2 linked regions of the Coturnix japonica genome follow. The protein of the gene in region 1 interacts with the protein of each later gene in a pairwise test. Links are inferred from orthologs where the notes say so. Each region holds a gene or a part of one and is shown on either strand. Other genes may lie near its edges.

The links.
Region 2: the proteins of KIFC3 (region 1) and MED4 interact in binary tests that used the Homo sapiens proteins (3 or more experiments, as listed by UniProt). The two-hybrid records come from large-scale screens. The link is inferred for Coturnix japonica from reciprocal best matches to the Homo sapiens genes KIFC3 and MED4.

What each region holds. Positions count from the first base shown.
Region 1 is NC_029526.1:1,973,090-1,979,241, forward strand, and holds part of KIFC3 (kinesin-like protein KIFC3), read right to left. Parts: intron 5,354-6,152; coding exon 5,288-5,353; intron 5,213-5,287; coding exon 5,072-5,212; intron 5,006-5,071; coding exon 4,766-5,005; intron 4,673-4,765; coding exon 4,499-4,672; intron 4,396-4,498; coding exon 4,248-4,395; intron 4,175-4,247; coding exon 4,044-4,174; intron 3,967-4,043; coding exon 3,855-3,966; intron 3,783-3,854; coding exon 3,601-3,782; intron 3,520-3,600; coding exon 3,415-3,519; intron 3,237-3,414; coding exon 3,106-3,236; intron 2,706-3,105; coding exon 2,582-2,705; intron 2,396-2,581; coding exon 2,266-2,395; intron 2,177-2,265; coding exon 1,947-2,176; intron 1,734-1,946; coding exon 1,599-1,733; intron 1,513-1,598; coding exon 1,413-1,512; intron 1,101-1,412; coding exon of another isoform or gene 1,096-1,100; exon of another isoform or gene 1,074-1,095; intron 886-1,073; coding exon 860-885; 3' UTR 1-859. UniProt on the Homo sapiens protein: Minus-end microtubule-dependent motor protein. Involved in apically targeted transport. Required for zonula adherens maintenance.
Region 2 is NC_029516.1:150,968,583-150,975,404, forward strand, and holds the start of MED4 (mediator of RNA polymerase II transcription subunit 4), read right to left. Parts: upstream 4,274-6,822; 5' UTR 4,201-4,273; coding exon 4,103-4,200; intron 3,204-4,102; coding exon 3,137-3,203; intron 2,488-3,136; coding exon 2,317-2,487; intron 1,698-2,316; coding exon 1,640-1,697; intron 817-1,639; coding exon 730-816; intron 1-729. UniProt on the Homo sapiens protein: Component of the Mediator complex, a coactivator involved in the regulated transcription of nearly all RNA polymerase II-dependent genes.

The DNA of each region.
Region 1 (6,152 bases):
AGAAACATCTAATCTTAACAAAAGACTAGACTTATTTTTCCCTTTTTATTTCCCTTTCTTTAATAGGATACGGTGTGGAGGACAGCTGGGAGCTGGAAGGTGCAGCACATACCTCCCGTGGTTGCAGCTGCCCCAGGGGCTGCAATGGGGCTCCTCTGCCCCCACTTCCACACCTACACCAACAGCACTGGGCTGCAGGGTTACTCTTCTTTTTTCCTCCATTCCAAGACCATGTAAACAGGTTATAAATATTGCAAACACATTCATCTTGACCACACTGTGATCTCTCTTGAGAAGACAACCGTTCAGTCACTTTACAATAGCTTCCTTCAAGACTGCAAAGCCCCTGCTGGTGCCAGGGGGACAGCCCTGTGGCTGCTCTCCCTTTGGGCAGGGTGCATGCAGCAGCACCGGGGCGCCTTCGTGCAATAGGGCTGAGAATCCAACAGGGAAAGGAGCTGCTGGGGTTATTCTGGCTTCAAATCTGGGCTGTGCTGCTCTGAATGTGGCCGGGTTGGGGGGCATGGGGTAGAGCAGGACCTTGTGGCAGGGAGCTGGGCACAATTACACCAAACCAAACCTCATCCATGTGCCCGCTGCTCCTGCAGCCGTGTTGCCCCCAGCACGGCGAGGTGGGGGTGCTCAGCCCCGATCCTTCCAGCCAGATACCCCAACCGTCCCAAAAACAAAGCTGAAGAGGTGTCGAGGCTCCTTGCTCTGGCTAAAGCCATCTGTCCAGCAAGAATTACAAGTCACAGAGCTGCGTGTCTCACGGCGAGAGGTGCCACCACCCCCAGGCACAGCTCTGAAGGTGGCCGGGGCACCGAGGTGGGTGAGGGGCTGGGTCCTGCAGCACGTGTCACACGGGGACCGGCCTCAGCTTCCCTGTGGGGACACAACATGCATCAGGCTGGGCAGGGGGCACAGCCACCACAGCTCAAGGCCCCAAGCGATGCGGTCCCAGCAGCACCCCTGTAAGCAGCACAGCCCTGCAGCCCTCCCAGCCTGGGAAGCGAGGCTGAAGCAGAGCCTGAAGCAGAGCCCATCACCAGCTCCCAGCCAACCACACTCACCTGGCAGCCACTGCTGCCCAATTCAGGCTGAAATCGAAGAGAAGAGAGGTTCAGCTGCGGGCACTGCCCTGCAGCATCGCTCCCTGGCTGCCCCATGTGCAGCCCTGGCTGCTTTGCCCCATGTGGCCCCTCACTGCCCTGTGCTGGGACAGGGCACTTCAGGGGAAGCCCTAACCAGGCTCCTGCCAGCCAATTAGCCAGCGGTTAATGAGCCGATTACAGCACAGCTCACACCACGCAGCTTAGCCTGTCATCAGTGGGCTGGGAGCCTCCTCCCGTGGAAGGCCATGAGTTGGGCACTCCGGGATCATGGAGCAGGACCCCCCTGTCCTCACCCACCTGAGGTCTGCAGCTTCCTGCGGATGGAGGTGCTGCGGCCGCTGGGCAGCCCAGGGCTGGGGGATGCGTGGCTCCGGCTGGAGGATCCCGGCACATCACCCTGGGGAGAGATGGGGCACAGCCCTGGGTCAGCTGGTACCTCCAGTGATGGCACACAATGGAAGGCAATGGTGGAGCTGTGGGTACCTCCAGGTGCTCCTGGCTGGGCCAGGACACCAGCTCGGCCTTGCGGGACACAGGGCCCAGCTCCACGGAGCGGACGCGCTCGGCAAACTTCAGTGAGCACAGCGTCTCACTGCTGTTCTTCTCGGCAGGGGAGACCTGCGGGTGGGAGCAGCAGCACATCACCCAACTGACACCCCCACACCCACCCCTCCCTGCTGCTCAATGGGGTCAGGGGGCTGCTATTATTAACCCACCACCCCCAGGATAGCCCCCAGCCGCCGTCTGCACCAGGCACGACCCCGTCACCAGCAGAGAGAAGCCACGGCAGGTGGCACATTGCACAGGGGGTGGGGGACGGGGAACCCAGACCTGCACCATCATGAGGGTCTTGCTGTCCCCGCTGAGCGAGTCCTGCAGCAGGTAGGTCAGCTTGGAGTTGCGGAAGGGCACGTGGCCCTGGCGGGAGCGCAGCGCATAGATGACGTCCCCCAGCGCTGACAGTGACCTGTTGATGTACTGAGCCTCACGCAGCCGGCTGCCCTCTGCACCCGAGCGCCCGACACGCTCCGAGCCTGCCAGGTCCACCAGATTCAGCTTCCCTGGGGGCACAGACAGATGTCAGCACCGCCAGCACTACCATGCAGCCCTGCCAGGGGGCACAGCAACCACCCAGGGGCACAGCACCCACCCGTGGTGCGCAGCCCCGTGCTGCGGTCGAGGCCGCGGACGGTGACGATGAGCAGCGCGTGGGAGCGGGAGCTGTGCTCGTTCAGGTTGGTGCACTCCGTCACACGGTTGACGTGGCCAAACTCAAAGACCTGAGGGTGAGGAGGGGGTGAGGCTGCGATCTGCTCGTCCCCCCATCCACCCGTGCCCTGTGCTTTTATTTCCAGTGCCCCTGCAGCACGCCCAGGGCCTATTCTGGGCTCTGTTTCTCCCCATCCTGGGACAACACTGCAGAGCCACCAACACACCGTGGGATGACTGCCAGCTCACTGCCTCACCTTGTTGATGTCCTCCACGCTCTGCACGCTGAACTCAGTCAGCCCAGGCACATAGAGCTGCCCGCTGCCATCAGGGCACAGCTTGATCTCCAGCTTCTCCTGGGGCTCCTTCCCCAGCAGGTCCCTGCGAGGGGGAACCCATCAGCACCCAGCTCCCATCAGATCAGAGCCCGCTGCCTCCAGAGGTGCAGCACAATGAAGATGTGCACTCAGGGCTGGTCCCTGCAGTGTTGGAGAGCCCCTGCGGCTGCTGCCGTCACTCCCCCAACCCCCAGCGTCCAGGCAGGGCAGGAAAATGTTTCTCATTCCCTTGGCTCCCAGAGCACAGTTTCTAAATATAACGGCCAAGGAGCCAGGCCAAGGGGAAGGGTTTGGAGCCCGGCAGAGGAAGCGGGGGGAGCCCAAATAAGCAGAAACGGCTCAAAGGGAGACAGGACCCAGACCAGTGCTTCCTTACACGGCCAACGCTGAGCCCCGAGGGCTCCACGTGATGCTGTGCCCCAGCCAAGGGCTCACATCCCTACCTGAGAGCCTCGTTGTAGATCTCGGCCACGCTGACGCTGATGGCATAGTCCCAGTCAGCCGCTTTGCTCCGCACCTCGGAGAAGAGCAGCTGCAGGGCCCGCTGGTTGATACCCGGGTTGGTGGAGGTTCCCTGGTGCATGGGGAGAGAAATGACCCGTTGGGCTTTTTCCCGATGCAGCTGAGCAGAAGCAAAGCTCAGGGGTTGCAGAAACAGCCGGGACTGGTCCAGCGCCAGCCTGCGTTAATGATAGCACTGGGACACAGGGCACTGCAAGGAAGAAGAGGGAGGCAAAGCCAGGCAAACTCACCTCCATTGTGTAGGTCTTCCCTGCCCCTGTCTGTCCATAGGCAAAAATGCAGACGTTGTACCCATCGATGCAGGAGGTGACCAGAGCCTGAACCTCTTGAAACACCTGCAGGGGGCCAGAGGGCATCAGGGGACGGTCCCACAGCCCTCATTCCTCCCACTGTTAGTGGCGTGAAGCAGCACCCACCTCCTCCTGGGACGCCTGAGGAGGAAACACCTTGTCCAACTCAAAGGACACCTGCTTCCCCTTGTGCAGGAGGTGCAGGACGGCGTCGTCATCCGCATCGAACGTCACCGCACTGACCGCCTCCGGGCCCTCTCCATCCTCCTTAGTGATGGGGCGGACTCTCCCAAAGACACGGATGTTCCCTTGGGGGAGCAGAGGCATCAATCAGCCCCGCTGTGGCACCCGGCCATTCCCTCAGCCCGGCCCCAACGCACCTTTCAGCCGCACCAGCTCGTTGTGGCACTTCTTGCGGAGCTGCAGCTCGCGGCGGTATTTGCGCAGCAGTTCCCTGTTGGTGCTGTTCACCTCCTCAATGGCTTGGCCGATCTGAGTGAAGGATGATGCTCAGCCTCCCACCCACACACCACACAGGGTGAGGGGCTCCGGGCTGACCCCATACTCACCTCAGCCCTGGCGCTCCGCAGGGTCTCCTGGAGGAGCAGGGGGAAATCCCGCACCTGCCGCTTCAGGCTGTTGTAGTCGTGGGTCAGGGTGCGCAGCGCCGGCTGCAGCGTCAGCAGGTTGGTCCGCACGCCTGTGGGCAGCATGGGGTGAGGATGGGTGGCCCTGACCCCCACGAGCCCCACAAACCCCATTGCCCTCCTCACCCGCCAGGTTCTCATGCACCGCCTTCATCTCCACTTGGGCGCGGGAAAACGCCTCTTCGATGGCACGGTTCTTCTCGTCCTCCATCGCCTGCATCTCCTCCAGCATCTGCCCATGGGCCCGCTCCAGCTCCGACTCATACATGGCAATCTGGGGGGATCGGTGGGGTAAGGCAGCACCGACAATTAATGCACATCAGTCCCAGGTGCCGCCTGGTTCACATCACTGCACTGCTGTGCCTGCAGACCCGTACCTGTGCCCGGAGCTGAGCTGCCGTCTTCTGGGAGCTCTGCAGCTGCTGCTCCATCTCCTTCAGCACCTGCCTCTGCATCCCCACCTGCTCCTGCAGGTACTGATTTCGGGACTGGCTTTCACACAGCGCCTGCTTTGCCTTGGCTGACTCCACCTCCACCGTCTTGATGATGTACTGCACAAAGCGCCCACAGACGACGGTGTATTACGGACCGAGGTCACGGCACCGCGGCACAGCCAGCAGGAGGCACAGCCCCGCGGTGCTCACCTTTATCTGCTGGGGCTGAGCCCTGAGGCTGGCGATGGTCTCCTGGCTGTCCCGCAGCCGCCGGCTGAGCCGCTCCTCCTCCTGCGCTCTCTCGGCCAGCGAATCCTTCAGCCTCAGCTCCACCTCGGCCAGACGGTTCGTCTTCTGCTGCACCTCCAGCTCCAGCTCGGCCAGCTTGGCTCGGGCTTCCTCCGCCTCCCTCTGCAGCTGGCACAGCCGCTCCTGCAGCCCGGCGTTCTCCTGGCCCCAAAGCAGGCTCAGCCTTGGCCGTGGCACCCGCAGCCCCACGGCTCACCCGCAGCTCACCTGGAGGTGCGTGCAGTCCCGACACGCCGCCTGCTGCCGCCGCAGCTCCCTTAACTCCCCTTCCCGTGCCTTCATCTCCTGCCGCAGCCTCTCATTCTCAGCCACCAGCAGGTCCCGGTGCTTCTCCGCATCCGTTCCCCCCTGCGGAACGTCAGCGTGTGATGGGAGCCCCCCCCAGTCCCACTTTATCCCCCCCCCCGCAGCCGGTGAGCTCACCATCTCCGAGCGCAGCCTGCCGATCTCCTGCGCCTGCTCACGGAGGTTCGCCTTCAAGTTTTCAACCTGCACACATGGGGAAGCACAAAGCTGTGCTGTGCCCCCCCCCAGCCCCCACCGCTCTGCTACCCGGGAAGGGATTCCCTTCCTAACACCCCGCCAGGCGAGGAGGCACCGCACCAACCCCCGTCCCAGTGAGGCTGCCGCCCCATGCAAACGACAACAGCCTCTTCTGAACCTCCGCAGATCGTCATTTAGGAGCTGCTGATTTATAACAAATGCGAACGCGCTCAACATTGTGCTGTAATTAATTATGATAAGTTATAAAGCCACTCCCTTGTGGAGTCGGCGGCGCGGCGAGCTGCCCGAGCGCATCTCCTGCGTGTGCCGGGGCAGAGGCTGAGCAGCTCAATTCAACCCTTCCTCCGCTGCCCCCCACCCCTTTCTCAGCACAGCCCATGCAGGAGGAGGGGGACGTGGAGCCATGGCTAAGCTGCCACTCTCCTGCTTAACGAACGGTGCACCGCAGGGCTGCACTCCCCACACACAGCCCCAACCACTCCCTGCACCTTCCAGAACCTCAAGGATAAACCTCACAGGAAAGCACACCGCCCCACACACAGCTGGAAGGCCCCAGCCATGCACCAAGCACGGAGAAGAGTTGCTCCCTCTGCTCCCCAGTGCTACAGCAGCCCCGTGCCCTACCTCCTCAGGCAGCTCCGGCAGCCGCCTGCTCTCCAGGCTGCTCAGGGACCCCTTGGCTGTGTGCTGGGGGCTGAGGCACGGCCCGGCCATTGCTGAGCTCACGGAGCCCAGGTTCACCCCGTGCTGCACAGCCCCGGCACGCCAGCTGCCTGTCCTGCTT
Region 2 (6,822 bases), on another chromosome or scaffold:
TCTATTCTCTACTCTTATGAGACTCCAACTTAAGTACTATGTTCAGCTCTAGGGCCCTCAGCATTAAGACATGGAGCTGTTGGAGCTGGTGTAGAGAAGTGCCATGAAGATTACCAGAAGGCTGAAGCATCTCTCCTATGAAGAGGGACTGAGATAGTTGAGGTTGAGGCTTTGGGGAGACCTCACTGCAATCATTCAATACTTAAAGAAGGCTGATAAAAAAAGATGGACAGAGCACCTTTTTACAAGGGCATGTAGTGATAGACTGGGATTAGATATAAACCAAATTAGATCTAAAAGTAGATTTACATTAGATATAAGCAAGCCATTCTTCAATATGAAGGTGGTGAAGCACTGGAACAGGTTGCCCATGGAGGCTGGGGAAGCCCCATCCTTGGAAATACTGACAGTTGCGTTGGATGGGAGCTCTGGGCAACCTTGTCTAGTGGAGGGTTTGAAACTGGATGGTCTTTAAGGTCCCTTGCAACCCAAGTCATTCTATGACAAGTTGTCATGGTTTTGTAACGTTGCTGTCAAAATTCCACATCATAACATCATGTGCAGTATGGATCATTAAATTTCTTCAGAAACCCTAGATGTAACAGCTATAAAAATATACATATCTTTAATAAATCAAACTGTCCTTCATTGTGTAAAAACATTCTAAAACCAGATACTGATTGTGCTCTATTATTCAAGAACAAGAATAGTCATAAGCACGATATTTACCTGGTACCCACGTCAGAGGGGCACAAACAGCATTACTAGCACTGATCCTGTGGGCGTATTTAATTATTTCTTCAGATGAAATGGCACCTGGAAGAAGGAAGAAAAGTTCCTGTATTTAAGAGACTGCATCGTTTGATTATTTCTGAATATTGGATGGTTTTTCATACAGAAAAAATTAGGAAAGTCATTCTGTCAAACATCAAAATATGCTTCAAATGCAATGACTGATCAGAGATTCAGAACAAGCGTCATAGTGAATTCACTTTCCAGCCACATGTTCCGTATACCTTGGAGTGTTAACAGGTCTTCAGCCTTTTGAAGAAACACAAACCAGTATCTTCCACAGTGCACTTGACAAGCACATTGTTAAAGAAAATTTCAGCACTTTTACTACAGAAGTTCTGCAGTAATTAAAATCTCTTTCTTCTTCGTAGCTGTAGTTATACATGTACGCAGTAGACCTTCCCCTAATAAATACACTTGTATTCAAGTTCCTCTAATAAATACACTTGTATTAGAGTTACTAGAATCATTCTGAAATTCCTTGATTTGTTTAGAAGGAAGTATGGCAAAAATGACTATAAACAAAACTTAAAAATGCTGCCTACCAAAAAAAAAGAAGAAAAAAAAATCAGTTTGACTGGGAAACTGCCACTCATAGCAGCAATTGATACAAATACAAACAAATATCACCAGCTAATCAGTCTTTTATAAACAATGGTATCATATACATGTACACAAAAAAAACCCTTTCACTTTTCCAGGTAGTCACACTGAAATGATTTGATTTAGGCAATATGAAATCTGTAATAGCCTTAAGAGAAAATTACTAACTTAGATTACTAACTTGAGCTCACTTGCAACACTCTTTACAACTGTTTGTATGTTATGTACGATCGCGGATACTCACCTTTCCTTGCCTTTTCAATTGATTTCAGTTTTTCCTTTGCTTGATAAACCGCTGTGGCCTAAATGTGAAAAAAAACAAGAAAGAAACAACACTATCTACAGCAGGGGAGATTCAAGCTGGACATTAGGAAATAATACTTCTCAGAAAGGGTGGTCATGCACTGGAATGGGCTGCCCAGGAAAGTGGTGGAGTCACCGACCATGGGGGTGTTCAAGGAATGACTGGATGTTGTGTTGAGGGACATGGTTTAGTGGGAGCTATTGGTAATAGGTGAACGGTTGGACTGGATGATCTTTTAGGTCTTTTCCAACCTTGGTGATTCTATGACTCTAAACCAAAACTTCACTGTATCTTTCATTTGTATCCTTCTGTATTAAGATCTGTGTGACTAAACCCTTGATGTAACTGCATTTTAGGAGAGAAACTTCTCCGGAAACGCTTCAAAATATACAGAAACAAAGTAGATTTGTAGAAAATTATCAATATAAAGTAACTGAATGCCATGATAAGGAAGTAGTTTTACTGGGAGGGGGGGAAGACAATAAAACAACCAACTCTAAAGCTCTCACAAAGTTTTAAACATTTCAAACTTCTCAAACTAACACAAAACTTTCTCCAAAGCTTTTCCCCTCCCTACTAGCAGATGCTCAGAAGCAAACACATCATTATGAACTTACCAGTATGTGCTCTGCTTCTTTCAGTTGCTTCTGCAGCTGCTGAATGTCATTATCTCTCTTTTCTACTACCTTTTCTAAAAGCTGCATTTCATGATGGATTTTCCCCTGATCAACTGCCAACTTCATTAGCTCTTGAAACTCTCCATCTCTCTGAATCAGCAGCTCCAGGATCTATTAGACAAGAGTTTTGTAGAACTTTTAATTAGCTCAAGTAACAACGCACCCTCCACCACACTGCAAAAAGCAACTGATATCCACAAGATTATTATTTCTTGCTCAGCTTGCAGAAACAGCCTACGAAGCATGAAACAAATGAACAAGCAATCAAAAACATGAAACCAAGAATGCTTTTTCAGTGATGCCAAAGCTTCATCATCATCGTTAGGAGTCCTCAGTCTCAGGACTAAGTCTCAGGACACCCAGGAGGGGAGTAAACTCTTCGAAATGGCTGACAATAGCAGGACATGGGGAAATGGTTTTAAGTTAAAAGAAGGAAAATTTAGGTTGGATGTTAGGGGGAAGTTCTTCACTAGGAGAGTGGTTAGGCCTTGGAACAGGCTGCCCAGGGAGGTTGTGGATGCCCCGTCCTTGGAGGTGTTCAAGGCTAGGTTGGACGGGGCCCTGGGCAACCTGATCTAGTAAAGGTGTATGTTTGGTGGCCCTGCCAGGCAGGAGGGTTGGAACTACATGATCCTTGAGGTCCCTTCCAACCCGGCTCATTCTGTGATCTGTGATTCTGTTAGTTCATGTACAAAGGGAGAAAATAAGAAGACATAGCATTTACCTGCAAAAAGGATAGCAACTAAGAAAGTCAATTTACCTGGCTCTCTTCTCCTGGTTGTGGAAGCTTCTGGTTTCTTGAAATTGCCAAAATTTCAATTAGTTCCCTAAAAGGAAAACAGTATTTATGCAGTTTTCTAAGCTATTATTTGTAAATCACACCAAATCATCCCCAACTGAGTATTTACATCATTATTAAATCATTCTTGTTCTTAAGTATTTTACAGTTTTACATCACAGTGTTGACAGGGATTTCACTTTTACTTCCATAAACATAAGTATTTCACAATGGTGTATCAGCTGTGCACCAAACTCACAAGAATTAGCTTAAAAGAGCTTCTCAAACAGACCTCTTGATCTTGCCTCCATTTAGTTTTCCCACCATCATGTAGAGCCACAAAGAACCTCAAATGGAGCAATGAAGTTACCATCCTTGAAGGTGCTCAAGAAACATATAGCTGTGGCACTGAGGGATGTGCTTAGTGGGCATGGTAGGGACAGGGTGATGGTTGGATTAGATGATTCAAGAGGTCTTTTCCAACCTTAATGACATTCTCTACGACTAGAATAAAGTTGATTGCGACTGTGAAAGGCCCAGCTCCATGGTACTGCTGATCACTCACATGTTGCTGACAGGCTTTGGGTTTGCTATCGCAGAATCATTAAGGCTGAAGAAGACCTGTAATTACATCCAGTCCATCCATCAGCTCTTCCCACCATGCCCACTATCCCTGTGGCAGTCACTGAGCCACACGGCAGGTTGGTAGCGAGTAATAAGAGCTGCTGGAGAGACAGACTGCTTGGGAGGCAGACTGCACAGGTGCCAGCGAGGAACAAAGCTCCGAGCACACGAACCAGAGCACGGACACAGCTCTCCTGTTGCCCCCCGGGCCCCACGCGTGCGTTCGGCCCCAGGCCGCCGCTCATCCTTCAACCCAACCCCGGCTCCTCGCTCGCTTTCCCCGCCGGAGCCTCGACACCGAGTCTCGGCCATCCCATCGGGTACCTGGCCAGGAGTTCCAGATCCTCCAGCGCCGCCAGCAGCCTCTCCCTGGTGCTGCTCCGCTCACCACCTCCCCCGGCCGCCGTTGCCGCAGCCGCCATCACGCTCGCGGACCCGCCCCCGCCGTAATCCAGCCCCGCTCGGGCGGGACACAGCGGGACACAGCGCCTCCAGCGGCCGAGGGACTGCGGCACGACCGGCAGGAGGCGGGAAGCGGCAACGGCCGCCCTGAGGGGCGGGGAAGGGCGGGACGGCGCGGGAGGCTGGGGCGTGGGGAGCCGCCATGTCGGGGGGCGGAGATGACGTTCGCTTCGGCTTTAGGTGTGGGCTTGTGAGCGCCGTGTCATGGAGCTAGTTCTTTGTAGGTGGAACTGTGCTTAGAATCGTTTCTGAGCCTAAGTTCGTAACCACCAGCTCATCCCGCCATGCACACTAACCGTGTACCTCAGTGCCACAGCTGCCCGGCTCTTGAACTCCTCCAGAGACGGTGACTCTAAGAGCCTCTAAATGGGATTCATACCTACTCTAAAGATCTAGAAAGCAAATGATAAAGAAAGGGGGTATGACTGAATTCCATCTTATCATTTCGTACTCAGTGTCTGTGGGTGCTGATGTCTGAAAATCCTTTAGGTGGCTTTATCAGATGGAGGAGGAAAGTGGCTGAAGAATGTTAAGAGTGATGCTGAAGGAGCCAGGATCACCTCTTGCCTAGGTTTCCTATCCCACAAACAGCAGGACTTCACAGCTATCAAGGAAAAATGACCATCCCAATTTGCCAAGGCTTGCCCATAGTAGCCAACCGCAGCTCTGCTTCATTACAGAGGTCTGCTTGCAATGACAGGGCAGCAAACATGCAAGTGCTGCCCTCTGTCATGTCAGCAGTTGAGCTAGAATTAAAATATACTGAGTTGTATGGGTTATGTTTTGGGGTTTTTTTAAGTGTTGCTGTAATTCGGGTGGTTCTGTAAACAGGCCTCTGGCTCTGGGTGGGGACACAAAAGAAGCCAGACTGAAGCCAGTGGAATTTTTTACATTCATGAAATCTTCTGGTAATATGAAGAGATCAGGACGGAAGGTGGAGGCAGATGAGGAGTGAAAACAAATCCAGAGCCAGGGTTTATGTCTGGGGTGAGGACTTAGGCAGAAGCCATGGTGTCCTCAGCCTCCACATTCTTCTCTTGCCAGCAGGCAGCTGCCGAACCCGCCAGCAAAGCAGTGATTCACTTCTCTCTTCATTAGAGAAAGCTTCAGATGAATGATAACGTCTCTGGATGTTCTAATACTAACGCTGATTATCTTTTTACCTTCTGTAATAAGTACGTCCCTGAGAAATTTACACTTATTAAAAAAATGAAAGGCAAGAAACTCATTAATCAACGATCCTTTGAATTGTGGTTTAAATAAACAATTCAGCGTTATGAGATCCATGATGAAGCAGTGAGATTTGGCAACCCTGAAATGGAGATAACCGCCAACGAGAGTTATTTAATATTCATTTACAATATACAACAGCCCTCAGAGTCCTGATGGTAGATAGTTTGGGAATTCTCTTGAAGCTACACAGCAGATAAAATCTCATCAAATAGTTCTACTCTTTAAATAACTTTTTCTTGCTTTTTTTTTTTTTCACTGTTTTTGTTCAAGGAAAGATGTAATCAGTGATGCTGTCTGGTTGTGCATCCACTTCACTGATTTGTTAGAGTGTCTGTATGGCTGCATGAGCAGAAAGAAAATAGCAGCTTCAGAAAGTAAAGCAATCCTTCTGCTAAATCATTTTCTTCCTCGCATTCATTTTGACATCTGAATTATTTAGGCCTGATGTATTTCTAATACATTTCAGGGCCGCGATGCTAGAGCTAAAACTTATAGCATTAATTGGACGCCCAAACTTGACAGGCCAAGGGTGTAGGAGGTTCCTGCAAGCTGTCTTTCCCTTCTTGCATCCAGGAGCCTGTTGCCTCCATCCCTTTCGACAACAGTATGTCTACGAGCCAGGCCAGTGCCACCAGGCTTTCATTGGAGCAGCTGCCTCCCTCCTCTCGCTTCCCAGGCTGACGACCCTCCTCTAGGCAGCGTGTTCATCGTGCTTTTGTTCTGGTGTCTGATCCTTCCCCTCTCCTTGCTCTGGGGATGGAGTAGAGGATATCAAGGGCAGGTTCCCAGGCAAAGGCTGAATTTGAGCTCCTGCCTCTACGTGGGAGGATGGGCTGAGGCCAGAGGCATTGGGAAATGCCTGCCTGTGTGAAGACATAGAGCGTCATTCAGACTGTGGTAGAGAGGTCATCTCCTTCTGGGCAAAGGGGAAGGCTGGGTTAAATGGGCTTGCACCCTAAACTTGCCCCATGGCCCACTTGTTTAAGACTAAGTGGATGATTTGCTGAATAGACTTCTGAGCCGCACAAAACAACGGAGCATCTGTTTCCCCAGTGTAGGTTCCTCTGTTTCCTTGGTTCCTCAGTGCTTTTGGATTTCTTTCCCCTGAGTAAACTTGTTTCATAGTTGTGTTGGTGTTGAGCCAGATCTGCTCCTTTAAAGCTTATGCATTTCCTGAATAGCTAAGCATCATTCCCTGTTTTTTCTCAGTAGCTTGAGAAGATTTTTAGTTGGTGGCCATGAAGATAGCTCTCCATGCACAGTGAGTCTCCCCCCATCTCTCTTTGGCCACGCATTCTATCTCATTCCTCTTTATGTAACTGAAAGCACACAATGAATCAGGTGAGCAA